Mytilus edulis: one gene and its partner. The main gene of each other region encodes a partner of the protein of the gene in region 2 in a complex. Links are inferred from orthologs where the notes say so. Each region holds a gene or a part of one and is shown on either strand. Other genes may lie near its edges.

Region 1 (16,452 bases), on a different chromosome or scaffold from region 2:
TAGAAACAAACTGATTCATATATCTTTTTGTTCAGTATTTTACCAAATGCTCACTTATTTGAATATTTTGGCTAGTGTCTCAATATCTCTTCTTTCTCATTGTTTAATTTGTTGGCTTTTTTCGAAAACTTATGTTTTATGCCCTTGTTCAATGTTACAATGAAGTTTTGATTATCTTTCTGAATCAAGCAAAAGAAGAAAACCAAGTTTTTTAGATTTCAACCAATATAATGTTTTGTGCATGTAACAAGTGTCATGTTTATGATTTGCAGGACCTATGTACATTTTTGTAAATGATATACAGCTATACAAACACTTTTATTTCAAGGGTAACTGAAAATTCCTTTTAATATAGAAAATCTGTGAGTCATCCACGGACTACCAGTAGGTGTGTTGCCTGCAATCTCAAAAATAACACAAGCAGAAAGGGACAAGGCATTGTCTTAGTATGAGCAATTTTGATCAAAATTATAAATATAGCAAGAGCAGAGCAGAACTGTCATGTACTTCACAGAAGAATCTAAGCAAGTTGGTTTGCTTTCTGTCAAGCTGTATTCAAGGCATTGCAGATTAAGACAGTGTGACGAGGACAACAAAGACAACACAGATAACATGGACAAAGATGCAAGAAGAAGGAAGTAATCCTTATGTGTTCATGTTCTTAGCTCAAAAGACTCAGTGACACAATATATAATAAAATCTTACAGCTACTGTTACTTTTCCAAGTATAGGTTCTGGTATTCTACCAGCTTTCTTTAATATCAAATCTAATGAACCACCATCCTAAAAAATAGAATTAATTCATTGCTAAAATGATAGATAACTAGTTTGTAAAAAATACATTGCATGCATTAAATAATACAAAATGAAACGTATCCCTACAAAAGCTACTTCTTGGATCCGTATATAGAACTTAAAATAACCAATCAAGCATTAATTAAATATCAGTCATGCTGATCCAAATATTTTAGAATTAATTGTGTAAGTTTAATCATACACCACAGTAGATGTCTTCAATACATTTTTGTACAAGCATACATGTAAGTATGAAATAAAAAAACAACTCTTTTATAATTAACAAAATTACTGAGCTGTATCTCTTAAATATTACTGTGTGCATTGATGTCTTTCTGAAATTTGAAATCTCTCTAGATAACCCCAGTAACTTACCATATATTCCATACAAATACTGATTTCTCCATCACTGTAAAATGCACCGTAGAAACCAACAATAAATGGTGAATTACACTCATGTAAAACTTTTAGCTCTCGAATTATTTGTATTCTAACTGCTGGCTTGATTTCTAGATGAATTAACTACAAGAAAACATAATTCAATATCATTAAATACTGCTATATCCTTTTCTGCATTTTTATTGGTTTCAGATTATTTTAATACTTGTACATACATGTACCAGTAATAGGATATAGCCTTTAGGTAGATTTTGTTACATACACTGTACATATACCTACAAAACATTTAAAAAAAAATCATTTTAGAACTGTGATTAAGAAAACATAAAAGCGCAGTCATATCTCTCCCTAGTCAGAACACTTGGAAATTTAAAGCAGAAGGAAATAACAGATCATACCAAACCATAATCAGATGTTTAAGAATTTATCTATATTTTTATGTTAAAATCTGACATTTCAAAGGTTTAACCATTCTGATAATTCTAGTCATGACAGGATATTGTGTGATACTGGTATTTCTTACCTAATACATGTAATAAGACCCAATTAGTGTACAGAAATGTATTAATCTGGACCTTTTTAGTCAGGAAAAGACTTAATTAGATGCTAAGAACCCCTAAATCTAAATATATAGCACTGATAGTTCATTATCAGATTAAAAACCAAAATTAGAAGTCCATAATCATTGAACCAACTATGTTCAGACAAACAGCTGTAAAACTTGGAATCTAACCCATGCCTTAGAATCTGGGTCAAATGGTACTTTTGAACAACAATTTGTAATAATGATCAGCTTTCAATAGTTTTTTACACACATCCTTACCTTTCTAGCCATTATTAAGCTTGATGGGATGTGTCTAACTTTAAGTACTACTCCTCCATTTCCAGCCCCTAATTCTCCAAGTTTGTCAAAGTCATCAGGAGTTAATTCCCCTACTTGCTGTTTCTGGGTAAGAAACATTTCTAATCTCTCTCTTTGCTGTGTGTTTATATCAAGTTCTTTAAGCTTTAAAGCAAGTGCTTCCATACTTGCTGTACCTGTGTTTGTTGGTTTTCTTTAAAAAAACATTTACATGATATCAAATCATGATGATAAAAATCACTGAATAGAAGATACGAACCAGATGCTCCGCAGGGCACAGCTTTATACAACCACAGAGGTTGAACCCTGAACAGTTGGGGAAAGTATGGACACAGCATTCAAGCTGGATTCAGCTCTAAATTTGGATTGTTATTAAATAGTTGACATAGCATAGGTTTCTGACACAGAATGAATGTGGTCTAATAAACTTAAAATTCATTTTTTGCCTTTGAGCAATTCACTATGCTGTTGAATATTAATCCTCTCAAAAAAATGTTTGAAGAAATTTTCTTTTTATTTATGAAATCTGAAATGAGAAAGATTGCCCCCCCCCCCCAATTTTTTTTCACATCCCCCTTTCCCTTATTCCAAATAATCCAAAACTGATCTCAATTCAAATTACTAATGGAATTTGCAACAATAACTACTCATTTACATACATCATTAATTATTAAAATGTAAAAAAAAGTGCTTGTTATCACTGAATGGTAAAGATTGTTTTAATTTATCATATGGTAGTAAAAGTGAATATACATTGTATATTGAATAAAACAATGATTTAAGTTGATTCAACTACTATTCTGTGCAAAGAAAGATAACTCCAATTGAATTTCTTGCTATTGTGCAATATTGTGCAATTAGATATTTCTTGCTATTGCACAATACTGTGCAATTGAAAATACTTGTTATTGCACAATACTGTGCAATTGAAGATTTCTTGCTATTTCGAAATACTGTGCAATTGAAAATTTCTTGCTATTGCACAATACTGTGCAATTGAAGATTTCTTGCTATTGCTGAATACTGTGCAATTAAAAATTTCTTGCTATTGCACAATACTTAATATAATAATTTTGGATCCTGATTTGGACCAACTTGAAAACTGGGCCCATAATCAAAAATCTAAGTGCATGTTTAGATTCAGCATATCAAAGAAGCCCAAGAATTCAATTTTTGTTAAAATCAAACTTAGTTTAATTTTGGACCCTTTGGACTTTAATGTAGACCAACTTGAAAACAGGACCAAAAATTAAGAATCTACATACACAGTTAGATTTGGCATATCAAAGAACCCCAATTATTCAATTTTTTATGAAATCAAACGAAGTTTAATTTTGGACCACAATTTGGACCAACTTGAAAGCTGGGCCAATAATAAAAACTCTAAGTACATTTTTAGATTCAGCATATCAAAGAACCCCAAGGATTCAATTTTTGTTAAAATCAAACTAAGTTTAATTTTGGACCCTTTGGACCTTAATGTAGACCAATTTGAAAACTGGACCAATAATTAGGAATCTACATACACAGTTAGATTCGGAATATCAAAGAACCCCAATTGTTCAATTTTGGATGAAATCAAACAAAGTTTAATTTTGGACCCTTTGGGCCCCTTATTCCTAAACTGTTGGGACCAAAACTCCCAAAATCAATCCCAACCTTCCTTTTATTGTCATAAACCTTGTGTTTAAAAAAATGCTTATTTGGGCCCCTTTTTGGCCCCTAATTCCTAAACTGTTGGGATCTCAACTCCCAAAATCAATCCCAACCTTCCTTCTGTGTTGATAAATCTTGTGTTTAAATTTCAATGATTTCTATTTACTTATACTAAAGTTATTGTGCAAAAACCAAAATAATGCTTAATTGGCCCTTTTTTGGCCCCTAATTCCTAAACAGTTGGAACCAAAACACCCAAAATCAATACCAACCTTCCTTTTGTGGTCATAAACTTTGTGTCAAAATATCATTGATTTCTATTAACTTAAACTAAAGTTATAGCGTGAAAACCTAGAAAATGCTTATTTGGGCCCTTTTGGTCCCTAATTCCTAAACTGTTGGGACCAAAACTTCCAAAATCAATCCGAAAACCAAAAGTATTCGGACGACGATGACTACAACAACACCAGCGTGATACCAATATACGACCAAAAAATTTTCAATTTTTGCAGTTGTATAAAAATTTGGTGCATAATAATAATATTGTATAAATTATGAATAGAAGCAAATACCTTGTGTAATGATGTGTAATTCCTGCTACAATACAATTTTGTACAATCTGAATCATGAAAATAGATTCATAAATTTGAAAATACTTTTGTATTCAAATTAACCATGTTAACAATTGTTATTCTATTCCCTTATTCAGACACAGGGCCTATCAGGACAACCACATACCTGTGTTTTTTTGGACCTTATGGAAATATTTTCTCTTAATGCCTTTTAGTTTAAGTGCCATTTTTTATTATGTAAAACATGTACAAAAACATGTAAAGAACTGTTTTGTAAAATCAGATTTTTGTTGTCTGTTTAAATAAACATGTTAAATAAAATACATTTCAAGTCTGAGATTTTATTTTTTTTTACAAATGAGGGGTCCACTTCGGTAGTCCAAATTGAACACATTGGGCGATCATTTATATGCAATCAGTCTTTTAGTATTCTGATTCTAATTTCCTTGGTCGTCATGTGGATTTATCACCGAAATCATAATGTCCTTTTTTTTAACTTACCTGCTTTAATAAATTATTTTCAAGTTATAACATACTTACAGTGTACAATGTAATATTATTTATAAATCAACGTTTAAAAGTCACAAATATGTATTAAAAAGTAAAATTTCATGTGTCATTGGTGTTACCCCCATTGTTGTGGCGTTTGAAGATTATACATGTATATCTACACGGTAGGCTGTGTCATGGAAGTCAGTTTTAATTGGTAGAGAAAAACCTAGCCCATGTGGAACCACAACCTTCTGCAAGAACACTGGTTATTCAAATGGCACTGTCTGCACGTACCAGCATGAGGGTACATGTAGCCAAATTGGCCTTCGTAGGCTACGCATACCTGCCTCTGGTTTTATAATTTAATGTCATTAGATCAGGAATAAAATGTGAAATATCCCCAGAAATTATCACAATAAGTGAAAAATTTATTTCTCACAGATTTTAAGATTTGAAATGACAAAATTTCGATAATGATTGAAAAGATGAATGCCGATTTTATTTAACTACATCCCTATTACACTTTTGTAGAAATGATCCTGGTTAATTTTTGAATATTTATTTATTTAGATGAGAATCAAATTGAAAAGGAATTACAAACAAGTAAAAAAACAGAAACAAAATAAGGTCATTTTAACCTATATTAGCTGCGGAACTGTAGCCACAGTTCAGGTCTGCAAATAGTAAAAAAATAACATAAGGACCTAAGAGCTACAGTTCAGCAGTTAAACCTATATACGAAGACCTGAAATATTTCAGGTGGAACAGTAGAATTAGCAAATGATAAATCCAGAGTCCTGAATGGATAAATTATCAAATGCGTCTAGTTTTAGACATATTGAATTTTATCGTATTACATTAAATTGTGTATATATACACTCAAAATTAATTTTTAGTCATTTAAGATATTTTAAATTTTTCGTTTCTGTTTCAAATTTTATAAGAAATAATTTTCACCATTGTTTTCCCTCAAATTTTAACATTCAGTATAATTTTATTCTTTTATAGTGCATTTACATTTAATACAAATCAAGATATATTATTTGCAATTATCTTCACTGAATTCACAAAATCAGGAAATAACTGACAATTTTTGTGCATCTTTTGCGTTCCATCATTGTCCATTCCTGATCATATATATTAGACATTATTTTATTAAACCAATCATGGGCCTTTGTCGGGCAAGATACAAAAACATCATACAATGATTATATAAACATTAGTGAAATACACAATATTATAAGTAATACACAAATAATAAATTGATAATATGAGCAATGTAGGATATAATTAAGGTAAGAGGCATTGGGTGCAATGAGGTCGATTTAATATTAAAAGAATATGATATAAAGTTTATTAATACTGAAACAAAAAGTAAAAATAGAACCAGGAATATAGTATCTCATTCTGCAGTAGTTCTCCTCATGACAGTCATGATCATATGACAGTCTGGGCTTAACATAAAATCGGTTGCTGATACATGTAACCTACAAAGTCCAATTTGGCTACGTGTACCCAATGCGGGTACATACAGACACTGCCTGTTCATATAAGCTCACAGACAAACACCCCTTGATTCGAGTGGAATGTTGACAAGATATGTATCACTGTACATGAACTACTAGATCCCAGGAGGGTCTTTTGAGATTTATATGAAAAGAAGTTATGTAACAAAATAAAATATTTCTTGAGTAACAGGTTAAGTAACTAAACATACTCAGCATCAACGGTTGGCACTGCAACCGGAGGAGGGGGTGTCGGTGCCGGCACGGCAACTGGTGGCATGCCATCGCCCGATGTTGACGGAAGTCGAAGCCCTTTCTTGTTTGGCATATTTTAAATGTTTGCAATTATGGTTTACAGTTTAAATAAGCTGAAATGGTCAATGAGCTCAGAAATCAAATGCATTTATATTGCCCATTGATTATGTCTATTTAAAATGCGTGAATATCAGTTCTGTCAGTTCGATCGATTCAATAATAATTTCTTGACAGGAAGTTACGCACGAGCACCTGCTTTAGTATTTTACAGTCACATCCACGTTTAAACAACGTCACCAGTGAATCATTAATTTTACCACAAAAAATGAAAAATTAAAATATCAGCATGAAAACGTTAAATAGTGAATATATAATGCGAAGGCATATATTTAGGCAGTGGCGGATCCAGAGGGGGCGTAGAGGGTATTTCCCGTGTATTTATTTTATGTGACAATTCTTTACTTTAATATAAAGATATTTTTCGCTGGTGTATCACTGTATGGGCGTTTTTCAATAAAAACGTACTTTCTTGTCCTAGCCACTTTAAAAAAAATGTGTTTGATCTTTGCAAGTAATTTTTTGTGCAGTCAGTACATTGAATTAGATATAACATTTTTAAGCAAAGAAACGGTTTATTTTTTAGAGAGATTGATAAGATATTGATTCCTGAATGGTCCAAAACAACCAAAATGGCATGTCCCTAGACCGCCTGTTCAACATTCATACTCTCAAATATCGTAAAAAAATGAAGAAATAAATATTAATTTTACTTAATATAAGTTCTTTAATAATTCAAAAGTATGTTTAGAGCCAACATATTTTAATAAACAGCTTTTGACATAGGATTTTTTATTTTAGAAGGTGTGTCCCTAACCGTGACAATGTCCACTACGAAACGAAGTCATTAAAACTTGCTTATAAACAGTTTTATAAAATCAATGTAATTTTTTGTTTGCAAGAGATATAAACATTAGGGTATTACAAAAGAAGTGATGCTTTTATAACGGCAATTAAACTGTTGGTAAGAAAAATCGAGCACATCAAATGGACCAGAGTGATACCGTATTTTTGTAAATGTCCACTACGAAACGGGTCAAATCTCCTTCAGTAACTGGTTTTAAAATTATGAAAAAAATATCAGTGTATAGCTTAATAACGCTTTGATGAATACAGTCAGTCTTGTTACTATTGCAATATTGGGGTTGTGAGAAAAAAATAAAACATGTGAATACGTCCCCTACAAAATACCCTACGAAACAAGTTTGCCAATGGGAGAAAAACGTTTCGTAGTGGACACTATCACTACCATGCAGTCTTTTTTTACTCTTTTTTCAATTATATTCGTGCAAAACAAATAACAAAGGTTAGTTTCATGTAATTTTTATTATGTTTTTATTAACATAGAATAGGGTTTATGTCAACTACGAAACTTTTTGTCCACTACGAAACGGTTTTGTCAACTACGAAACGCATCAAAATGTCCACTGCGTAACATGAGTTGTACCTTCATATGTGAAGTACTGTCTAATCTTTATCAATAAAAAATGGTTCTCCAATTCAGAAAAAAATGAGATTGTTCTAGTATATAACGTAAACAAACTGGAATGTCTATAGGAAACATTTAAAATTGCAAAAATATGTGTGTTTAGAAGCAGTTTCGTAGAGAACAAAAGTCCCCTACGAAACAGTACACAAATTATGAAAATAATATCATTTTAAAGAGTATTTAAGATTGCACTTTTTGTTTACAAACAGTTCTATCAGTGGCGGATCCAGAACTTTTCCTAAGGGGGGGGGGGGGGGGGGCGCTTACTGACCTAAGAGGGGGCCCGCTCCAGTTATGCTTCAATGATTCCCTATATAATCAACCAAATTTTTCCCACGAAAGGGGGGGCCCGGGCCCCCCAGCCCCCCCCTGGATCCGCCTATGTCTATAATAGAGGTATTCAAAATAACTCTTGAAAATAAATTTTAGACTAGTTGATTTTCCATTTTTTTTAGGTCTGAAAGGAACGCTTTTATTGAAAAACGCCCGTATACTAACTGAAAGTCATGTGATTCACTTTGGTGGAGTTGACCAGGGTTGAGTTCAATATCGTAGCAGCTATGTAGCTGCTATCAATATCTATGTAACAACTAGTCTATAGCTACGCGTTCAATAGTCAAAATCTACGTAGCACTACGGTAGCCGCTACGATATTGAACGCAACCCTGTGCGTCGAAAAAACGTCACTCAGTCATTTTGAAATTTAAATTACTGTCACAAATTGCTTAGGCTGAGCATGACAATCTTAAAACCTTCAAGGCGACACAGGATTGAGCAAGAACATAGTGACTTCTATTTCATTAGTCCACAAAACAGTAATACTCTAAATTAGTACACTCTCATGAAAAAAAAAAGTTCCTCAGCAATATTATTTACCTACGAAAACATGTTTAACTCGTAACGCCCCATGATCGGCATCCTATTTTAAAATAACAGCTGAATAATGATCCCCAGTCAGTATAAGCTCTAGATAGATTTAAATTCTAAGGTACGAACCATTTGATTTGAGGAGGCAGTCTGAGATATTTGAGAGATGAAATTCTGGCCGTATCTGGATTGAAAACAATAATCTTATCATTTTTATGCTATTAGAAACGAATATCCAACAGAATTATTAAGCATTAAATGAACATGATAGATAAAAACGGGCGTATTTTTTATTTTGGCCGGGGTTTGCATGTCTGACCGGAATGTCTGTTTCGCCGAACTGATATATTGAATACTTTTTTCAAGACCAGACTACAACCTACAGCTGGAAGTAGCCTTAATGTCTACATTTTTCGACCGTCATTCATATATTCGTTGCCCGATGATTTCAGACGCATTGGTAGCTTTTGGTTGGTTTGGGATCCCTCGCATCCCTTAATTTTCTTGGGCGAAACATATCTAACCAAACATTTGAATAAATATTGCTTGTTCGTCTTTTTTAGCTCGTGTCCGCTGTATTGGAAATTTTATCGAACAGCCCGACTTGTATCTTGTTTACAACAAAAAATCTGTGAGGTTATGATAACTTAACATACAGCAAACCAGCGAGAATTTTCAATGTCTTTTTTTACTGAAAATTCCCACATCAAAGTTATCAGTAAATAGCTTGAAATCCGTGCTATCATTTTATGACAGACAATTAATAGCCTGGAGAATACAGCATCGAAAATGTCCAACCCCGTTACACCTTACGGGAACTACAAAATATACATGCACCACGCCAGGAATCGTTTCAAAGGTGCATATTACACTTATTTCATGTTTTTGTAGCGGCAAAAAAAGGTCCCCAAAATTTTTTGACTCGCTCCGCTCGGCGAATTTAAACACTTTGCCCCCTTTCCAAAATGCTGGTTCCACCCCTGTTATATGCAGTGGCAGATCCAGAAATTTTCATAAGTGGGGGCCCACTGACTGACTTAAGAGGGGGCCCGCTCCAGTCACGCTTCAGTGATTCCCTAAATAAGCAACCAAATTTTTTCCCAAAAAGGAGCCCCCCCCCCCCCTAAATCCGCCTCTGATATGTAGTGGTCCCAACATCATACGTTTTTAGCTGACCTGGCCCACAGGGCCAAGTGAGCTTTTCTCATCACTTTGCGTCCAGCGTCGTTCGCTGTCGTCGTTAGTTTTTACAAAAATCTGCTCCACTGAAACTACTGGGCCAAATCAAAACAAACTTGGCCACAATCATCATTGGGGTATCTCGTTTAAAAAATGTGTGGCGTGACCTGGCCAACCAGCTTATCAGGTCAAGATCTATCTGCAGTGAAATGTTCAGACGAATCGGACAACCCGTTGTTGGGTTGCTGCCCTTGAATTGGCAATTTTAAGGAAATTATACCGTTTTTGAGCTATTATCTTGAATATTATTATAGATAGAGATAAACTGTAAACAGCAATAATGTTTAGCAAAGTAAGATTTACAAATAAGTCAACATGACCGAAATGGTCAGTTGACCTCTTTAGGAGTTATTGCCCTTTATATTCAATTTTTAACCATTTTTCGTAAATCTTAGTCATCTTTTACAAAAATCTTCTCCTCTGAAACTACTGGGCCAAATTAATCCAAACTTGGCCACAATCGTCTTTGGGGTATCTAGTTTAAAAAAATGTGTGGCCTGACCCGTCCAACCAACCAAGATGGCTGCCATGGCTATAAATAGAACATAGGGATGAAATGTAGATTTTGGCTTAATATATCTCTGACACGAAAGCATTTAGAGCAAATCTGACATGGGGTAAAATTTTTCATCAAGTGAAAATTTATCTGTCCTGAAACTTTCAAATAAATCGGACAACCGGTTGTTGGGTTGCTGCCCCGAAATAAGTAATTTGAAGGAAATTTTGCAGATTTTGGTTATTATCTTGAATATTATTATAGAAAGAGATAAACTGTAAACAGCAACAACGTTCAGCAAAGTAAGATCTACAAATAAGTCAACATGACCAAAATTATCAGTTGACCCCCTTAAGGAGTTATTGCCCTTTATAGTCAATTGTTAACAATTTTCATAAATTTTTGTTATTTTTTGTAATTTTTTAGGAAATATTTTCCACTGTAATTAATGGGCCAAGTTCATTATAGATAGAGATAATTGTAGCAACAATAATGTTCATTAAAGAAAGATCTACAAGCACATTACCATCACCAAAACACCATTTTGTCATGAATTTATCTGTGTCCATTGTTAATATGCACATAGACCAAGGTGAGCGACACAGGCTATTGAGAGGCTCTAGTTTGTTGATGAAGATGATGATCAGTGATGGTGGTCAGGGGCGGATCCAGCCATTTTGAAAGGGGTCCAAACCCAGGATAAAGGGGGGAGAGGGGGGTTCCAAACACATGTCCTCATTTAAATGCATTGATCGTCCAAAAAAGGGGTGTTCCACCTCCCGGAACCCCCCTCTGGATCCGCCAATTGTGGTGGTTCATGTTAAGTAAAAAAAGTTTGTGAAGAGTCACAAAGCAGGATAAAGCGTTAACAAAAACCCCTATTATATCGGCACACCTATTCTAACAGTCTGATTTATAACCATATATTTCAGGTGCTTATTTAGGGACTTATCATTATTTATCTGGGAGGGGGGCTGGTCAAAATACAGGGAGGATCAAGTTTTGTTTCTGTATGTGGAATAGGGGGGTTCAAATTTTATTGTAAATTCAAAATGGGAGGATCAATAGTTTTTGCACAAAGAAATGAGAAGTTTGAACATCACTAATCATCGTACCGTTTTTATTTATTCTAAGATCCCTTTGAGTTAATTTATAACTCTCATTCCCTCAAAATCTGTATTTTTTAGGCTAACAATTCAAAATTTTGGGGTTACTATCACACATAAATGTATGAATGAAATGTGTCAATAAATGAGTAGGAACGAATAACCAATCCATATAAACCTCATGGAGGTTTCAATAAGGCCTACTGTAAAACTTGAGTTTCAAGCAGCGTCCAAGAGAGGAACATATACTGCGGGTAATAGATATCCCACTTAGTAACTAATGTGTTGTTGCTGTATCAAAAAGTTTACTTTTTCTTCAATAGCTCAATATAGGAAATTAGAAAAAAAAGAGTCAGAAAAAGCTTTGCTGCTTACTATGGCAAGCCGTTCTCGTCAAAACTATGTTTAAACCCTTTTTTTTCGAAAAAAATACACACTGAGATTTAAAAACCAAAAATAACACACTGAGAAATCGAAATTACACACTGAGATTTAAAAAAATAAAAAACACACACTGAGATTTCAAAATTACACACTGAGATTTTAAAAAGACACACTGAGATGAAATAAATAGAAAAACACACACTGAGAATTGATAATTACACACTGAGATTTCAAAAATACACACTGAGATTAATATGCAAATTACTAATGAATATTCATGAGATGAATAATTCAACAGATTAATATCTTGATCTCAAGAACTCTTGTCATTATAATGAAATGCGATTCCTTCAACCAACATTCGTAATAAATTTCAAGACTTAACATCGCTCATATTCATAAGTTTGTTGCCTATAATTCATATCATTACTACCAGTAATTAAACATGTGTCCCTTTTCAAAAGTCTTCCAACTGTTTCCCTGATTTCGCTAGTTAATCTTTTATATTTTTGTTACGTTTATATGCTATATTTAATAGACACTAGAGTAAAAATTTCACTGCATTCTTTTTCAGATTGTTCCAATGTTTTCTTATGATTTTAATAAAGTTTTTCACCATTTGGTTATATTTTGTAATAAGAGTAAGTGGGCATTTTTCTTTTTCTTGTATTTCTAAAGTTTTTTTTATTAATAATTTGGAATCAAATCGAAGGACTAACGAGTTCTGTCCCCTTGTTGTTTTAAGCTTGTAATAGATACAGATTAAGTATGCTAATTAGATAGGTGCGCATAAAAAGTGCGCACAAATCTCAGTGTGTAATTTTAAATTCTCAGTGTGTAATTTCAAATTCTCAGTGTGTGTTTTCAGTTTACTTATTCTCAGTGTGTCTTTTTGAAATCTCAGTGTGTAATTTTCAATTCTCAGTGTGTAATTTTCAATTCTCAGTGTGTAATTTTCAATTCTCAGTGTGCGTTTTTCATTTTTGTAATCTCGGTGCGTCTTTATGAAATCTCAGTGTGTAATTTTTAATTCTCAGTGTGTAATTTTCAATTCTCAGTGTGTAATTTTCAATTCTCAGTGTGCGTTTTGAAGTTTTTAAATCTCAGTGTGCTTTGTTGTAATTCTCAGTGTGTAAATTTTTCGAAAAATGGTTTAAACATAGTTTTGACGAGAACGGCTTGCCATAGCTTACCTCTTAAAATTACTGGAAGAGCCCTATTTCAAGGCAATGTTCCCTGGAATATTGTTTTTGGACTCAATCCACTGAGAATATTTAATGTTTGCCTCATGATATCTATGATATAACAAATATTTTGCATGTTACAATTTTGACATGTTTAATAGAGGGGGGATCACATTTTTTTAAATGTTTTTGTTGGGGGGGGGGGTCAAATAAAAATAGTGAAATATTATGGGGGGATCAAATAAATTTTATATATTTGAATTCAAAATGAACAGCCCCACCCTCCCATGTGAATAATGATAATTCGCTTATTGAAATGTTACAAAAATCTAAGAAGTGGTGAATTTTTTGGTAGACTGCCGGTCCCGTTACAGTACAGGCCCTATAATGGTGTGGCAACTGCATATATAATGCTGGGACCACTGCATATAATTCTGATCATCAACATGCTTTCCATACTATTTATCAAGAAACTATCTACTTTCATTTAGTTAGATGCATGTACACTTTTGTTATCAGTTACCCGTCTATTCTGTCATATATATTGTATTTGATTTGTAATTTGTCCTCATGTAACACATATTTTGTGTCTTAGTGAAAATAAGGAATTGATTTGAATCAAGAGAGGTATACGTAAAACACTCCGGTCAATAACTTGAGTTTACATGAATGGATCTCTTTGAAATTTAATCAGAAGGTTCAATACATGTACCACAAAAAGAAGGTTGGGTTGATTTTGGGGGTGATGGTCCACCCGTTTAGTAATGAGGGGCCAAAACAAACACTTTTCTACTTTCAGGATAATAACTTACCTATGAGTATTTCAATTGCTCTGAAATTGTTCCACAATGTTTGATACCACAAGTAAAAGGTTTGGATTCATTTTGAGGGTTATGGTTCCAACAGTTTAGGAATTCGGGACCAAAAAGGGGTCAAAAACAAGCATTTTTGTATTTTTGTCGTTTCTGGACAATAACTTGTATGTAAGAGTATGAATCTATCTGACATTGTACCACAAGGTTCCATATCACAAAGGAAGGCTGGGATTGAGTTTGGGGGTTATTGTCCCATTCATACAGGAATTAGGAGCCAAAAAGGGCTAAAACGAGCATATATCTAGTTTCCAGATACTAACTTGTATTTAAGGGTATGGGTCTCTATGAAATTGTACTACAAGATTCCATACTACAAAGGAAAGGCAGGGATCAAGTGTGGGTTAATTGCTCCAAAGGGGGATTCAAAAAGTTTTTGGAGGTTCCAATTTTTTTAAGGGGTTCAATTTTTTTTTCCAAAAAGTTTCAAGAAGAAATCTTTGATTGCACAGTATTGCGCAATAGATTTGTAAGATCTTGATTTATTTTTGTGTGTGTCAGAAACCTATATTATGTTTAAGAAAAATTTGATAACAATCCAAATTCAGACAGTATCAAACTTGAATATTGTGTCCAAATTTGGACCAACTGTTCAGGGTTCACTTACCTCTGCGGTCATATCAGACTGAGCTCAGCGAAGCAGTTTATTATAGTTCATTCTTATGTTGTACTGTTTCACCATTGTCAAAGGTTAGGGAGGGATTTGATCCTCCTGAACATGTTTATTTACCTTGCGACATTCTGAATCGTTGTATGTGCCTGTCCGAAGTCAGCAGCCTGTAATTCAGTGGTTGTCATTTGTTGATGTGTTACATATTTGTTTTCCCTAAATTTTTTTGTAAATAGACTAGGCTGTTAACTTAGTTTTTCTCGTGTGAATTGTTTTACATTTGTCATTCTGGGGCCTTTTCTAGCTGTCTATGCGGTATGGGCTTTGCTCGTTATTAAAGGCCGTACAGTGACCTATAGCCCAACTTGACAAGTCAAAGTGGACTGCAGTTCTTAAGCAGTTTACTAGTATTCACAGTTCTGACTTGACACTGTTCATTAGCATTCAGTTTACAAATTCAAGGCAATGATTAATTTGCATATAGGTATTCAAATAGCATTCCATAGCGGTTTTTTTTGAAAGTTTATTTATCCTTCAGTTATTTAGCAGTTGTTGTTGACAAAAAACAATGAAAAGTTTAAATGAGATATCCAAAAACTGATGTCATATTTGAATATTCATGAGAACTGCTACTCTCACAAACATTGCTATACTTTTCAGAAGCACATAGGGATGGATGGACATGTGCATCTTTCCTCACTCAATAAACTGCTCTTTATAGCAGGGGTATTAACATAGGTTTTGTCAAATTAATTTTATTTAGGAGTCTATTCACACGCAAAAAATATAAACAAGTCTAAATTGAAAACAAATTTCAAACATGATTACGTTGGATAAAAACCACAATTTTTATACGACTTTATGTGTGCATGGAAAACAAATTTCTTTGCAGAGGGGTCTAAATACAGCACAAACGTACATTTTCCAAAAGACCAAAAAAGTGAAAAAATATATTTTAACAAAATGCATTTGATTAGCAGGTTGAACAACGCATGTTCTTAAACCCTGCTGACTGCCATTTGCAATTGCCAAATAAACAGCTCACTAGATGTAATAAAATGGATCTTAATTATCGATTTAATCAAACAGAAAACAGAAAACAAGAAACTTGAGGAAAAGATGGTATACATATACACACATCTGGTGTATTAAATTATAAGTCTGGTACCTTTGATAACTATATATAAACCTTAACCTCTTACCCTCAAATATATATATATATATAGGCTGTCTATGCAGTATGGGCTTTGCTCATTGTTGAAGGCCGTACTGTGACCCTTATATACTTAATTTCTGTGTCATTTTGGTCTCTTGTGTTATCTCATTGGCAATCATACATCTTTTTTTATATTAAAAAACAAACAAATGTTTGAATTGTTTTACATTTGTCATTTATAGCTGACTATTCAGTATGGAATTAGCTCTTTGTTGAGGCTGTACCGTGACCTATGGTTGTTTATTTTAGTGTTATTTGGTCTCTTGTGGACAGTTGAGCCTAAATGGCAATTATACCACATCTTATTATCACCAATATTAACTCAGACAGCTTGAATGACATAGGATCTTAAATTAGTCTTTTTTCCACAAAAAACATTTAACCTTTAAATCCTTA
Region 2 (17,064 bases):
AATAATGAGTGTTTTTTTTAATTCAATTTCAATTTGGTGTTGCAATACTTTTTTCCAGGTGTATATATATATATATATATAACTCACCATATTCTTTCTATCTATATATAACTTATCTTATTCTTTCTCTATCTATATATAACTTACCTCATTCTATCTGTATCTATAAATAACTTATCTTATTCTGTCTCTATCTATATATGACTTACCTTATTCTGTCTCTATATATAACTTACCTTATTCTGTCTCTATCTATATATAACTAACCTTATTCTGTCTCTATCTATATATATATATATATATAACTTACCTTATTATTTCTCTATCTATACATAACTTACCTTAATTCTGTCTATATATAATCTACCTTATTCTGTTTCTATCTATATATATATAACTTACCTTATTCTGTCTCTATCTATATAAGGTACAGGAGATGATGGGGTGCTTTGTGATGGTGTTGGCAATGATAATGGTTGTGATGCCTCTGACGGTAGTGACGACACAGACTGACGGCCACTGGCTGTTGAATATTTTGGAGAACTACTACTAAATGGACTACTGGAAGCAGATTTATAATTGGACCAACTAAGGTCATCTCCATCACAACTGTTTCTACTATCTCCATGCAGCTGCTTGTCTGTAACACAAAACTATATACTTTAAACCGTTATTTATAAAATATATCTTCAGTGTGTAGTAATTACATAAACTTTCCTTAACCCTGAAATTGGATTCCTTATAAAGAAGTAAATATAGAACCAAATCTGTAATAGAGATTTTTCAGTCATATCTTCTTTACCTGTTACAACTTTTTAATTGGCAAATGCAATTGGGTCAAGAATCGTATTAGTTTCTGCATAGGTGGTAATGGTAACGTTTTCTTCTGTTGCTCAGTCCATATCGTTAACTTGGATATGTGTGATGGCTCGTTTCGAACCAGACATTTTTACATATGTGGTTAAATTTTCGTGGTACGAAGTGAGATTACTTTTTCCGTAAATTAGCAAACCCAGAGTATCCTTTTCTGATGCGTCTCCTCGGAGTAAAAAATCCCATTTTTAACACAATAAGTTCATTGAAAATTTAATACTTTGAACACATTCAATAGCTCCATAGATGTGTTCCCCTACTTTCTAAATTAACACAAATGATTTAGCTCAGTGACTTGTTTATCATAGAAAAGTGTCAAATATCACTACACAGAGATTTTTTGTTAACACATGACTTTTGAGTTCCTCATTTCAAGGCGCATTAGGGATATTGTCCCAATTGCATTAAACATATTTAACAAAGGGAATATAAATTTCAAGACCAATTTAATAAACATGATAAACATAAACATGCAGATTTACAATTATGATTTAGTACACCCTCTAAATGGCTCTTATATTCTTTAAGAAATTAACAAGAAGATAACATGTATAAAATGAATTCTTCAGGGGCAGATCCAGCCATTTTTAAAAGGGGGTTCCTACCAATGCAGGATAAAGGGGGGGGGGTCCAACACACGGAACACCCCCCTCCACCCTGGATCCACCACTGACATTGACTTAGATACATGGGAGCTAGATGTACAGGTCAGTAACATATCAAGTAAATCATAAAATCAATGAGTGGAGCACTCGTCAAGAAATGTAAACAAAAAGTGTTACATGTACTTTAATGAACTTAATAACCTTGATTTAATAAAGCTACATAAACCAGGATGTGTATCCTAATGACTGTTAAGTAGTTAATATACTCTGCATTCTTTTGTAGTGTATTCGTAAGTTTTCCACAACAAAATCCCCTTGTTAGTTTTTAATTTCATTATGCAATATAGTTTTGATGGCTCTATTTTGTATTTTAAAAAAAGGCACCAAAACTATTTATTTTGTACTTTTATTGTTCATGCAAATAAAAATTGTTTGCGCAATGTTGTCAGATATATAAATATCCATACTTCTTTCAATACTGAAACATTGCAAAACTTATTCTCTATGTAACATTAATATAATCATTGTTAAAATTGTTAAACGGCTATTCCTGCAAATATTTCCCTTTACTGAACATAGTGACGGAAAAATTGAGAAACATGCCTCTTTTATCCCAATTTACCAGTACTCTAAGCATTCACTAAGCCATTTAAGCTAGAGTATCTTTTAAAGTATTCTTACCTGTCCAATTTTTCAGATTTTGCAGTGCATTATTCAGCTTGTGGAAATCATCTTCTTTAGCTTCATATCTTTTGAGTAGATTTTTAAGTTCTTCTACAGTCATGTCGAGTAGAGAATTCAAAGACAGTCCTCTCTTTACAATATCCTATAAATAAAAGTAAATATGAATGAAAAGGTTAAGATATAGGTCATAATCATAGCGTTTTAATCTGCGTTTTAATCTTAGGATATGTTCCAAATGCCTAACATAATAATTATTAATTAAACTAACACTTTCTTTAAAAAAAAGAGACATGTATGTATGTAACATTCCAAAAACATAGATGACACCAACACATAGATGTCTGTTGAGTTTTGGCAATGCCTTGCCTAGGTTCCATGTATGTTTTATGGAACAGTCCTAAGCAGGAAAAGGTTTTTAATTGATTAACTACGTAATAAAGACATAACTTACGGAGATGTAACTCTTTAATCCCACTATGGTCAGCCATTGTTCAGTTTTAGGATATTCGGACAGATGTTTCTTGTTGTCTTCGGCTTTCAGTTGTGTTTTTGCTACCAGCTGCTTACTAAATAACTTGATCAATTTTGTCTGAAAATAAAACATTAGAAAAATTAACCACATGTTTAAAACTTTAGTAAAACAATAATCAAATAAAAACAACTAGACAGTTCTTACTGTATGAGCACTTTTCTTTTGTTGAAGGCAAGAAGACCGCTAGACTTATTTTGATTTTTTTTGTGTTGCTTAGTTGCTGCCTCATTGTTGAATGCTTTATCTCCATTTATAAAAATAATTGTTAGGCTCCTGTGGATGAATGGTCACAGTATTCATCAACATGATCAAAGAACAGTCAAACATTTGAAATGATTCATCTGACTAATTATACAGGCTGATATTTTGTAAAAATATTTATTATTGCTATTTTGTGCATTTTTCCTTTGATCTTATTTTGTGATAATTTTTCATATCATGCTACTCGCTTGAGATGGAAAATTATCGCTAGAAACTAAGGAGCCACATGCCGTCCTCAGTTAAATAGCGATAAACAGATTATCATTGGTCATCTCAACGTGACCGGCTCAAGCGAGAAAATCAATCTTGTTGAGATAACCAACAATAATCTATAATTATCAGTAAAATCCAGGATATATATATTGCCAAATAAAATGTTAAGAACTGTTATGACACTGGTCAAGGTATTTATTGGATGTAAGTTCTTATACAACTACTTTTTATGCTTTGTTTTGCATTTGTGTGCCTCTCCCACAAGTATCCCAAAGAGGCTTTACATGTTTTTATATATAATTGTTTGCCATCATAAAATGAAAAGTATAATCATGTAATATCTTGACTTTAATTGCTTATCATGTTTATGCTAAACAGAAAAAGAGTCATGAGGATGTAATACAGTAATTCAGCTAATTATATATATTCATTATCATTTAGGTTAAATGTCATTTTTTTATCTTCCCTCTTGTATAAGGAAGCCAAGTCAACGACATTTAAACATTTAAGCCAACATTTAAATGCCATGCACATCTATCTTCACAGGGATAGATACAGATAATAAAGTGAAGTTTCAAAATTCTTACATGGATTTCCAAAGAATATATTATTATATATTTATAGCAATACATATATACATTTGCTTATCATAATTCTTTATTTGATCATGTTTATTGACAAACAAACAAAGAACAATTTGGTCATAGCAATACATGTTCAAAATATATTAGTACATTGTAAATAAATGATTTGTACAATGTAGTTGTAGGTTGTTAAACATCAAAGGTAAAGTAATGATATGTAATTATTATATATTAATGACATGTTAATCAATTACATGGCTGTTAGGTATGGTCTGATGACAGGTGTTTATGTCTTAACAAGACAGTTGCACTCTCTCATTGTTCCTACTAAACTAAAACAAATTGTTATGATGGTTAAGGTTTTATATATAGCATTCCATCAGATGCCACCCCATCTCTATGATAACACCTTTTAAAGTCTCTATGATAACACCTTTTAAAGTCTCTATGATAACACCTTTTAAAGTCTCTATGATAACACCTTTTAAAGTGTATATATTTTAGTGCGGGTGCTATATGCAACTTAACTTACTTTAAATAAAGCTAATGATAACAATGACCACTGCCCTTTCCTCGATCTTGATATCTATATCATAAACGGGAAGCTTAATACAAAAATTTATGATAAAAGAGATGATTTTTCATTTCCTATTGTTAATTATCCATTTTTAGATGGTGACGTTCCCTTGTCACCATCTTATGGTGTTTATATATCTCAACTTGTACGATTCGCTCGTGTATGTAACAATGTATTAGATTTTAGCGAGAGAAATTTATGTATTACTGAAAAATTATTACACCAGGGTTTTCGATATCACAAACTGGTCAAAACATTTACTAAATTTTATCACCGGTATAAGGAAATAATTCGTAAATATAACTCAACATGCAGACATCTTATACGTTCAGGTATTTCACATCCAAAATTTTATGGAAATATTCTTTATAAAGCACAAAAATGTCAGTATTCTCCTCAGAAACTAACAAAACCTTTAAATAGACTTATTAAAAGGGGATATAGTTACGATACTGTTGTCAGGTCATTAAAGATTGCATATTTTGGATTTAACATTGATTCACTGATAGGGTCTTTGCATCGGAACTAAACACATTTATTTCTAAAAAAACAGTTGTTGGCATGACACGGGTTATGTTCTTCTCATATATTTTATGATAGTATGATACTAAACCCCTAACGGGAGGGATTGTACCTGATATTCATATGATGAAGACATAATCTTTCAATCAGTTTAATTGAGGTCTGGAGCTGGCATGTCAGTTAACTGCTAGTAGTCTGTTGTTATTTATGTATTATTGTCATTTTATTTATTTTCTTTTGTTACATCTTTTGACATCAGACTCGGACTTCTCTTGAACTGAATTTTAATGTGCGTATTGTTATTCTTTTACTTTTCTACATTGGCTAGAGGTATAGGGGGAGGGTTGAGATCTCATAAACATGTTTAACCCCGCCGCAATTTTGCGCCTGTCCCAAGTCAGGAGCCTCTGGCCTTTGTTAGTCTTGTATGATTTTAAATTTTAGTTTCTTGTGTATAATTCGGAGTTTAGTATGACGTCCATTATCACTGTACTATTATGCATATTTTAGGGGCCAGCTGAAGGACACCTACGGGTGCGGGAATTCTCGCTACATTGAAGACCCATTGGTTGCCTTCGGCTGTTGTTTGCTCTATGGTCGGGTGGTTGTCGCTTTGACATATTCACCATTTCCTTTCTCAATTTTATTATGAAATATTGCAAAAGGTCTTGTTGCTAACTTGCTATACATGTACATGTACATCATATTTGTTGATGTTTATGTTTACTATTTTCTTAATAAATCAGGCCATTAGTTTTCTCATTAAAATTGTTTTTATTTGTCATTTCAAGGCCTTTTACAGAGCTCTATCTTTAAGGGTACAGATTTTGAGCATCATCTATGGTTGAAGGATATACAGAGTTGAATGATCTTTCAGTTATTTCACTAAATGCCTATAGTATAATGTCTAGGAGAGAAAAAAAAATCCTAGTTGAGAAAACAACCTTTACTATACTTATACATGTAGTTTGGGATACAATGATACAGGCAGGTTAATTTTCCCCGTCAAAAAGTCAAAAATAATGCATTCCCTAAATTTCCATTTGGCTCTACCAATTTTTAGAAGTGACCTTTGTTCCTTATCAACATGTATAACAAGAACATGTATGACCCACTTAAATCACTTGCAACCAAATAACAAGGTCAAACAACACTAAGGTCAACAATAGACAAGTGTTCTTATATGCTGATCTACAAATTGACCCAAGAGTTGTAGGTTTATTGAAAGTCATCAAGCACTTAATAGCTGACAACTTCTAGGATATTAGTTATTGATTCTCCTGTTTGCAAAACTACATGTACTTTTCTTTTCTCATCATGTGCAGATGTGATATAAAGTTCAAATATTCATAGATTGTTGCTCATTTAATGTCCTTATCACACATATTCAGGTGGATTAACTTTTGATATTCAACAAGAACATGAATGGCATCATCTCAAATTATTGGAGCCATTTAACAAGAATGTAAGGGAGCAACCATTTCACTTCAGACTGTACAAATGTCTTGCTTGTTCATTTCACTTTTCCATATTTTTTTCATGTTTTTTTTTTTTTAATATCAGATACATTTTAAGGTATCAAGACCATTATTACAAATTAAAGGTTACTTTTAATTACTATGTTTCCACTTCTAAATTTTAGAAGTAAATTTATTTGAAAAGTGATGTCTTCCTGATGAACGTCATGAAAGTTAAGAAAAGGAAGTTCATTAAATATGTTCTTATTGTAAGTGTAAGCTGAATAATGAAACTTTCATCTTAAAAATGTGTCAACGTGATTTGTCAATAAAAACAAAAACATTGTACTTCTGTGTATAAAACAGACAAAAAAACAAGAATGTGTCCACAGTACACTGAAGACCCACTCAGACTATCATTTTCTATGTTCAGTGAACCGTGAAATTGGGGTCAAAACTCTAATTTGGCATTAAAATTAGAAAGATCATATCATAGGGAACATTTGTAATTAGTTTCAAGTTGATCGAACTTCAACTTCATCAAAAACTTCCTTCACCAAAAACTTTAACTTGAAGAGGGACAGACGGACGAACAGACGAACAGACTAAGGAACAAACCACAGACCAGAAAACATAATGCCCGTCCACTATCATGACTATTGCAGTTGGGGCATAAAAAACACTTGTGAAGTCTAATACATGACCATTTCAAATTCATGTAGCTTTTCATACATACCCTTCCAGTGTTTTCGACAGTAATGTGATGCTATCTGAATTAATTTTCTTATTGATCATGTAGATTATGTTATGGATGTGAGCAATGCTATTATTTTTAGAAACAAGATGATATTTCAAATTTCCCTGCCTACCAGGATGCTAAATGAAATGTCTGGGGAGATCACTGCCTTCATAATTATAGTTTTTACATCCAAACAATACATCATTTGTACATTATTTTATCCTTTTTTTTTTCTTATTCAGGTCCAATTGTCAAAAGTTTAAAATCTAAAAAGACATGTTAGATGTAAAAACTTTGATATTAAACTTTTGATTACAATCTTAGACAAACATATATATCACTATCTCAGCACATGTACAATGTACACATACAAATGATTCATTTCATTTAAAGCTAAATTTTGTAAACCATTTTCATGACTTTCAGATATTACTATTTTATAACTTATAAGAAAACAAGAAAAAATTGGAGAATAACTATCATGACTATAAACATAAAATATATGTTTTAGTAGGCTAAGACTACATGTATGAATATTAGATGTCATACGATTGTCAATGAGACAATTTTCCACCAGAGGACAAATGACATAGAAGTTTACAACTTGCATTTAATTTTTTTTATTCAAAAAACTTTTAAAAATAAAAACTTATAACTACAAATATAACAAATATTACTTGGATAATTTCCATGAAACACAGTTTGTGCCAAAGAAAATTATACCTTGTTCATGTAACATAAAACCCTTCAAAATTCATATGAACGATATAACATGTATAACTATAAAGGCCAAAAGTGGAGACATTTTTTTTATTTATTTTCACAAATCTATTAAACTTTAACTTATCATGGTAGTGTCAGTGTAGTTATGGCTAGAGGTTTTGACACTGGCTGATTATCTTTAAGTACATTATATACAAAAAGGTATGATCATATATTCATCAATAAACATTTTCAATACATGTTTACCAAATTTAAAATGTTGTAAATTTTACAAAACAAAGTCTGATTTGTTGAATCAATTATTTTCACTGACTACCGGTAATTAATAATCATCCTGTTAATTGGTTAATCACCTAATTAGATTATGGAACAAGTAACAAGGTAGTGTCAATTAACAAAGTAATGAAGACGGGGGGTTAAATGCCTTCCGGCATTAGTCAGCTGTTAAATGTTTACATTTTAGAGACGTAAACAAAAGCTAATCAGGGGCGTTTCAACAATTATTTGAATACCTCCGTATCCCTGATTTCTTTTTGTGTAATTTCTTCTGAAGGATCGCATTGTTCACGTAATCCTTTCAATTTTATCGCCGTAAAGTCGATCATATCTTGCGCTGTCGTGCACATTGAAATGGCCCTTTTGATCTCTCCATTTTCGGCCTCTGATGAGTCTACCATCTTCCTAAAGTTACCTATACACTAAATTACGGTGCATGCTTTTGAACTTCCCTAGCAACAAATTATTTTTTTACATGTAAAATGATCAACAAGTAACAAAATAGTCGTCATTTGTTATTTTTTGACAGTCCAAAATGATTTCCGCCATATTGCGAAGCAAGCACTCTCGCAAATTGACGTCACGTGACTTAGACGAGACGTAATAAAATTTGCCGGGAAAGAGAAATGACAACAAAAGAAGAAAAAGCTACAAATCCTAATTTACCATGGTATAATAAGATATTTGCGTTATTTCAACTTCAGCCATTTATCTTCCAACATGTTTTAAATCATGAAATTGTTTGACAGTAAACTTAATAAAACAACACATTGTAAAAAGAAGAAAAAAAGGGGGAGGTAGATCTTGATCTATAGTTTATACATGTATTGTAGGGTATCCACTAACACATCCTGACACTGACGGACGTTTTACACTGAACATCAGTCTGAATAACCCCGCCCTAACAGTACCTGCTAAAGGATGGATTGAAGATGGGTGTTAAATATTCAGTGCCAGTGGCAAATATTACATGCATGATTGATTCAATGATTAATATTTAATGTAGACCGAATTATTCTGTCCCTATAATGCATATATTTACTGATTGACATTTGCTTTTTATTAATATTGCTATTTTCTTTTTTTGTGCAATATAGAGACAGAAAGCAGTGCCCATTCAAAGATCGTGGACAATTTGTTTGGGCTCATTTTTCGCTTATTTTTTACTTGTCAGACATCCGTACCTGTATACACTTCCAGATAAATGTTTTTTCTACATTTTCGTGTGCCTAACTATGATCAACGTCCTTTCTGAGTCCTAGATAATCCAATTTTTTCAACATTCAGTACATTCTACTTTCATTCTCGGCAAGTTTGACATTTTGAAATATTTCGACCAATCAACGTTGATTTCCGGTAACTAGGATCTTCTACCTTCTGTACGAATAACCTGTGATATCTAATTATAACCCTAAACATTTTATTACAAAAGTTTTTTTTTTTATTAAAAATCCGAATTTTTCGGTCTGTCTCAGGATGGACAGACTGTATCTAATTCTGTTGGTTAATTGACAGATAAGTTAAGAGTAAAATGAGATCAATTTACTGCTTAAATCAATCCAGCTTTTGTTGTAAAAACTGCTCTTACAAAATTGTTTTCAGGACGCAACATAAACGGCTGTTAATGCTTTTCAGCATTTGACAGTTTGAGTTAATGAGGGCAAGGGGGCAGACAATGTGTAATGAGAAATAGAAAGCTTTACCTTAGGCCACGGTTTTTTAATTTGTTGGTTTACGGATTTTCTCCATGACAAAGTCGGGTCGGTCGGTCGGGAAAAAAATAAAAAAAATACCTTTCAAGACAGAAAACTGATATGCAAAATAAATATATATTTCACCTTTCTAATAATATGTTTGTTATCCTATTTTGTCATCATTTCTTAAATTTTAGTTTAATGAAATATTATTGCTCAGTTGTAATAAAAATTGCATGACATTGCCTAATAATTTCCCGTAAAAAAGGGGGTGCACGGACAAAGACGTAATTAAATTTCATAAAGGAAGACAAATTCACATAGCTCTTAATCAATTCCAGAAAACTTGGTGAATAATGATCTTCAAGAACGAAAACTGATAAAGAAATAAATGTAAAAGCGTGGTAAGAAAATAATTTTCAACACACGCGTCAAAAACGTAATAGACTCGTCCACTGGAAAAAACGAGAATATCGGGTTAATCTGTTGTCATGCATTCCCGTTTTTATCCAAATGGACGAAATTTTTTTATTATCTATGAAACAAGAAAATTTTAAATGATCTGTTAATATTCAGTACTTTAACTTGATGTCCTGAACTTCCACCTGTCCACATTTGGACAAGTCTATTTCTATGAGAAAATGCATCTTACGGACTGTTGACAAATAAGAGAAACGAACTTATTGTGTAATTTGTTTTAAACACGGGTTTCGTTCCACAAAAATATTTGTCCAAACGACATGTCAAGGTCATTAATAATTGATTTATCTATTTTTAGAAACGTAAACTGGAAGTTTCATTTTTTCACAACAGAAAGTGTTATCAATTCTGTTAGTGATTAATGCATTTCATTTTATAAAAAAAGGCTAATTTATTTATTTTTCAGGGATAATGCATTTGTTAGGGTCGGCGGGAATGAAAAAGCATGAAAAGTCAATTTTATTTTTATTCTGGAAATAGGCAAAATCAGGTCGGCGGATCCGTAAACCAACAAATTAAAAAATCCTGGCCTTATAGGCAGACATGGTGTATGATTCATATTTATTTATAAATGAATCTGCCCCAGCACCATGTCTACTTTTATTCTTTAATATTTCTCTGGCTGTTCCAACAACAGTTTATACTAGAGAAGGAAAAAAATTCCATGTCCTATTAATATCTACAATTTTTTTTCCATAGCTTTAATAAGGCAAATACCTTGCATTCTCACTCTTCTCAAATCTGGAATTTTAATATTTTCAGATCCCCACTCTTCAAGAATAAATTCTGTCAAACATCAAAGCACATCTATATGTATAACACAAAGAGGGTGCAAGAATATTACCCCTTGAAAAATCATAATCAGCTGCTGCTAAGCATCGATTTGATGTGTTTTTACTACTATAAAAAAGGCGCTAGGAATCTGTTCCCACATGTATACCCTGTGTGTCATTGACATTGTTAGGTTCAACAAAGCCAAACATAATACCATGCCAGATTTTTCACTGCCAATTTTGCTTTAAGATAAGTAATCGGCAAGAACATATTCCTATTACTACCCATGAAATGCATAAAATTTGCATTTAAAGTTTATTTTCATATTTCTTACACAGAACAAAAACAAAAATTTTTAAAAAGCTGTAGATGTAAGTACTATTCTAAATATCAAAGAAACATGCAGGCACATCAAATGATTTCATTTGGAATCTGTTTCTGCTATCATCGATAGAAAAAAATAAAAAGTTTTCATAAAATAAAATGTTTAACCTACCTACCCTACATAAAAAAAAAAATCGGGGTGAAATAGGAAACACTGTTTATTTATTTTGGCCTTACCAGTTGGCAGGTCTGATGATTGATCCATGTAAGTTGGCAGTTACAACATTTGTCATTCATTCATTTGGTGAAAAGTTTATGGGGGAAAATTGTGTTCAACATTAGCGTTGGTTAAATAGCCCGCATTACTTATTTTAACTCTTATAAGTTATATACATTCATCTAATTCATATCATAATTATTTATTTTTTCAGGGTTGAAAAATATAGACCAAAACAGTTAGATGACCTGATATCACATACAGATATAATATCAACAAGTAAGATGTAACATTCAATAGCATATTATTTATGCTTTCGCAAATAAAAAATATTCATTCAATCAATCTTTATGTAGTTGCACACTATATTATGAGTGCTCTGCTCTAATATTAGAAGGCATTCAAGGAATAGGTCAATAGTGATAGACTATAACTTTCCAGTCTGAAATATTTATTTGCCCTGACTTATCTGTCATTCTGAAACAAACAGTTTACCGTAGTTTAAACATATTTATTTATAGTGGATTGAGAAACTAGTTATTGCAACTTATATTAATCCCTTTCCACTTTGCAGGTGCCAGTGCTGCCTTGTAGTGGCATTAGCCTGCTCTTTTTCGAAATCTAAAAGGGTGTCTTTTACTTGCAAGAGATATGGCTTTCACTTAAAACTGGTCAGCCATTTATCATTCCCTTTCTGACAGACTTGTATTGTTTCCTCAAGACCATACTCGCAAATGGTGTCAAGCGACAAATGAAAATTCTGTCCCTGAAGTGGGGATCGAACCAGGAACCTTTGTGTTAGTAGCTATATATAGTCTGATGCACTAGCTTTCAACAGTTTCAGATTTGTTTTCTAAACACCTTCACTTATTGAGCTGATTTTTATGCCCCACCTACAATAGTAGAGGGGCATTATGTTTTCTGGTCTGTGCGTCCGATCGTTCGTCCCGCTTCAGGTTAAAGTTTTTGGTCAAGGTAGTTTTTGATGAAGTTGAAGTCAAAACAACTTGAAACTTAGTATACATGTTCCCCATGATATGATCTTTCTAATTTTAATGCCAAATTAAAGTATTGACCCCAATTTCACGGTCCACTGAACATGTAAAATGATAGTGCAAGTGGGGCATCTGTGTACTATGGACACATTCTTGTTAGTATGTGAGTCTACCATGATGAGTTACAGATCAATTGGAGCCGTTCATGCTGTTCAAACAAATCTAGTTTCATAGAGATATATATGTAGACAGATATACAAATTTGAGAGTATTACTCTCAAATTTACTGTATTATTGTTTGTTTTCAGCTGGGAATCACTTAATATAGTGGATGAAATTCATTTTTCCTCAACTCTTATTTTCAAATTTAAAACCATACTAACCATAAGTGTATTATTGCAAACCAATGATACCTTTCCATAGATTCATCTGATAGTTAACTGTCCATTTAAACTTTTGGCAGTTCATTTGCCCCATTGAACAAATACAACAGGTATTGTTCTCTGTGTAGTTTATTCACTTGGACCTTTAAATTTTTTCTAAGAGAAATCTATCACTCATTGATTAATTTACCTGAGTAAAAAATTTATCTGCTAGATAGATAGAAATAACATATTTTACATGGTTCGCAATAACAATATTAATTGAAAAAAATGACTAGTGAAAACCATTCAAATTGGAAAACAAACAAGTCTTTAATCTTTTTAAAACGGTGAAACACTTATGAACTTCTTACAACAAACGACAACCTCTGAACTGAATGTTTTTTTTTGTTTTTTTCCAGTTGGTAAATTTGTGAAGGAAGAACGATTACCACATCTGTTGTTCTATGGACCACCAGGAACAGGGAAGACTAGTACTATATTGGCTGTAGCTAAACAGATATACTCACCTAAAGAATTTAATTCTATGGTGCTCGAGGTTTGTTTCCATCCACCATACAGGTTGTTTTCAAGATGCTTTGTGTAAATGGATTTTTTGGCACACTCAGCCTTTTCTTGGAGGCCACTAGCTTTTATGAAAGAAAGATACCTATTGATTTTAAGGTCACTACATCTAAGGTCAAAGTCTTAGTTGCAAGTTAGATATTTTCATTTTTACATTATTTGGGAGATATTGAATCTCTGACTGTTTTTCCATCCTTTTGTTTAATTTTCCATTTTTGTACCTTCTTGTGTCTCATTTCTATTTTGAAGAGAAATCTAGTATGTTACTTGTAATATTGCTAATTTATCTCAACAGTTGAATGCCTCAGATGACAGAGGGATAGGAATAGTGAGAGGACAAATACTTAGTTTTGCAAGTACAAGAACCATATTCAAGTAAGTATCATTTTAGAATCATATTGATAATTGAAACTCAAAGAAGCATGTAAAAAGTGAAATAACAAAAATAAAAAACTCCAAATAAAATTCAAATAGAGAAGTCCCTTAACAAATGACAAAATCGAAAGTGTCATATACCATAGTCTGATCTATCTGACCGTTACTTTGAGCACTTTGATAGTAAAACCCAGTCCAGTTTGTGTCCAGTGCATAACTTATGTACTGTAAAACTTGGATAACCAAACTTAGTATGCAGTTGCATCATTGGGTAATGGTGTGTCATATACCCATGAATGTGTTCTCAACTAAAATTTGTAATTCTCATATGCTTAAAGAGCATTTTTTGACAATTTTTGAATTTTTAAGGTAAAATTATGTTGTATTCTACTAAATTTTTCAATGTCCAGAGAAAATGTTACGGCCATGTTCCATATTCAGAATATTTCTACTATATTGCATTTGTTTAAGTATCAACATATGCTCATTTTACCAAAAATCATACTGATTCATTTATTTCTATGAATAGTAGATGCTACATAATGAATTTTATTGGGTCTTAAAGATTATGGATGCTCTCTCGATTATATTAACAACTTTTGTAGTTGTGAAATGGTTTTGTATAAGGCCAATTAAAATTAATTGATAGATTTTCATCCCCGCCCGCCCCTATGAAATTGGCCCGCCCCGAATTTTTTTATTTTATAAAATTTACAATTTCCGGATTTTGTTCATTTCCGTTACCGGTAACCATTTAAATTTCGTTTCATTCGAAGCTTCCTGTTTCAAATTTCGGTTTTGTACCTCGAGTAAATCTAACCAAAATGATTAAGTCGACATATTCTGCTGCTCTCATGATGACAACATCATCTTCCGAGAGTAAATATTGATTACGAGAATGACGTAAAAATATTCGTGTTACGAGAAACACTCTGTTTCCAAGACCGCAAATTGGGGTATGTCACAAATTTCTGAGATTTATAGAAAACTGGATTTTTTTTATTTATGCAATGGCTTTGTGTCAGGAAATTCAAACTGTGAATGATACCCAAAGCACAAGAATCGTGGAAACCATTGATACAGAAAACATGACTGGATTAAAGATATTGAAACACAAGCACGAACTTGTTAGATTTATGACCGTATTTTGAATTTAAAAAGTCGACAAACATACGCATTTTATTTTTATGTTGACAAACAGCAAATGTCCCAATACACACAAAAGAGTCATTAAACAATACTTTTTTTTTTTATTAAGTTCATGTTTTACATGATAATTATAATTTCAGCTTGTATAAGTACCAACCCTATTATTTCAACACTATTCGAGTTTTCATTTTATTATGTACTCATAATAGATAATAAATGTATTGCATACCATTGCATTTGCTTCATTTTAAGGGAATACAAACCATCGTTTAGAAACCCAAATACATTTTGTGAAGGTAGTCCAACTGAAGAGAGCATTTCTCACACGTTTTCGTTGTTTAGTTTTTAAAGCCGCAATTAGATAGTATAATTTATTTATGGATTTGAAAAATTATGTAAGATTCCTCATACTTGAGTATACATGATATAAGCTAATCATTACACTTGCATATATAAATAACTCGTCACAAAAGGGTTTCATATGAAATAAAATTTAAAAAATAAAATCCTCCCACCCGCCCATTATTTTTTAAAAATTTGGATGAAAATCTACTAATTAATTTTAGTTGGCCTAAAATGCACTTCTTATTTCTGTACATAGCATATTTCAAAAATGTGTCTGCGGATAATGAAGAAAATGATTAAAATTGCATCTTCACCTTTGATAGATGCTGATGTAATTCTTTTAATTTCATATTGAATACCTCAACGTTTGGATGCTGGCTTCCAATTATTTATAGATTCTGGCATCCCAACATATCCGGAAACTGACATCCCAACATATCTGGATGCTGGCATCCCAAAATATCCGGATGCTGGCATCCCAATACTTTTGGATGCTGGCATCCCAAAATATCCGGATGCTGGCATCCCAATATATCCGGATGCTGGCATCCCAAAATATCGGGATGCTGGCATCTTAATATATCTGGATGCTGGCATCCCAAAATATTCGGATGCTGGCATCCCAAAATATCTGGATGCTGGCATCCCAAAATATCTGGATGCTGGCATTCCAATATATCTGGATGCTGGCATCCCAATATATCTGATGCTGGCATCCCAAAATATCTGGATGCGGGCATCCCAAAATATCGGGATGCTGGCATCTCAAAATATCGGGATGCTGGCATCTCAATATATCTGGATGCTGACATACCAAAATATCCGGATGCTGGCTTCCCAAAATATAGGGATTCTGGCATCACAACCTTGCAGACATGTACCGTTTTTCATTATGACACGAATTTAAATGCTGCTTTCTAATCAATTGGATTTTAGTATTAATCCACCAATATATCACACACTACATTTCCTAAGGTTTTGATGTGTGTTGAATGCATATGAAAACAATCAAGTAAACATAAAAAAAAAAGCTACTGATGAATGCCTGTAGATTATATTTTTAGTCTTTGTTCATGTCCAGTGGCCAGTTTAATGCATATTGAGAATGTGACATCATAGGTCAGAGTGTGAAATGTATACTTGACCAACAAACTGAGTCTGAATTGTAAAGTGCTAGTTGACCATGTGAATGCTGATGTCAACAATTTGATATTTATAAAACTATGTCAATGTACTACCGGTAAGTTTCCAATAATTAGCCAATTTTAATGTTATTTTTCTGAATAGCCAATTTTAATGTTATTTTTCTGAATTTGATTACCATTATGTAAGACATGATGTATACATGTTATTGACTATTGTGGTCTCGAGACAATACATTTATATATGATGACATCAGGACTATAATTTTCAAATCTGATATGCTCATGTTTCGAATGTTCATTGAACTTTTTTTTTTAAATAAGCTTAATGCAATTGCCAGCGGAAATCATATCAAGTTTAGTAGTTTCCAAGGCTTTCAGAAATCAACTGGACAAAATTTTAAAAAAAATGCTGCTCATCTTGTATGGCATTTTATCAATCAAATGAATTTGCCCAATGACCATCAACCTTGGGAATTTCTGATGAACTAAGTCATCCAGGACAAACACTCTACAAACGGATTGGTGACTGTACCTTTATTAATGTTTTGTGTCTATGAGAAACCCCATTGGCAT

What was found.
Region 1: the proteins of kinase suppressor of Ras 2-like (region 2) and dual specificity mitogen-activated protein kinase kinase 1-like are in contact, whole or in part, in a cryo-EM structure (PDB 8BW9), measured with the Drosophila melanogaster proteins. The link is inferred for Mytilus edulis from reciprocal best matches to the Drosophila melanogaster genes ksr and Dsor1. Residues at the interface, in NP_001287177.1 of Drosophila melanogaster: Gln767, Tyr828, Asp830, Met831, Gly832, Leu833, Gly834, Val835, His837, Arg849, Ala850, Leu851, Gln852, Asp888, Gln889, Pro890, Ala891, Glu892, Ser893, Ile895, Trp896, Gln897, Gly899, Arg900; in NP_511098.1 of Drosophila melanogaster: Gly98, Gly99, Lys123, Asp236, Met238, Ala239, Asn240, Ser241, Phe242, Val243, Gly244, Thr245, Ser247, Met249, Arg253, Leu254, Gln255, Gly256, Ala310, Met311, Ala312, Ile313, Phe314, Leu317, Asp318, Val321.

Annotation. Positions count from the first base shown.
Region 1 is NC_092347.1:76,733,558-76,750,009, forward strand, and holds the start of dual specificity mitogen-activated protein kinase kinase 1-like, read right to left. Parts: upstream 6,791-16,452; 5' UTR 6,610-6,790; coding exon 6,494-6,609; intron 2,250-6,493; coding exon 2,018-2,249; intron 1,318-2,017; coding exon 1,171-1,317; intron 784-1,170; coding exon 706-783; intron 1-705. UniProt on the Drosophila melanogaster protein: Required downstream of Raf in the sevenless (sev), torso (tor), and Drosophila EGF receptor homolog (DER) signal transduction pathways.
Region 2 is NC_092349.1:83,181,312-83,198,375, reverse strand, and holds the start of kinase suppressor of Ras 2-like, read right to left. Parts: upstream 8,626-17,064; 5' UTR 8,448-8,625; coding exon 8,283-8,447; intron 2,752-8,282; coding exon 2,614-2,751; intron 2,305-2,613; coding exon 2,160-2,304; intron 641-2,159; coding exon 403-640; intron 1-402. Other genes in the region: replication factor C subunit 5-like, read left to right, coding at 8,673-8,716, 11,750-11,814, 13,315-13,451, 13,773-13,852.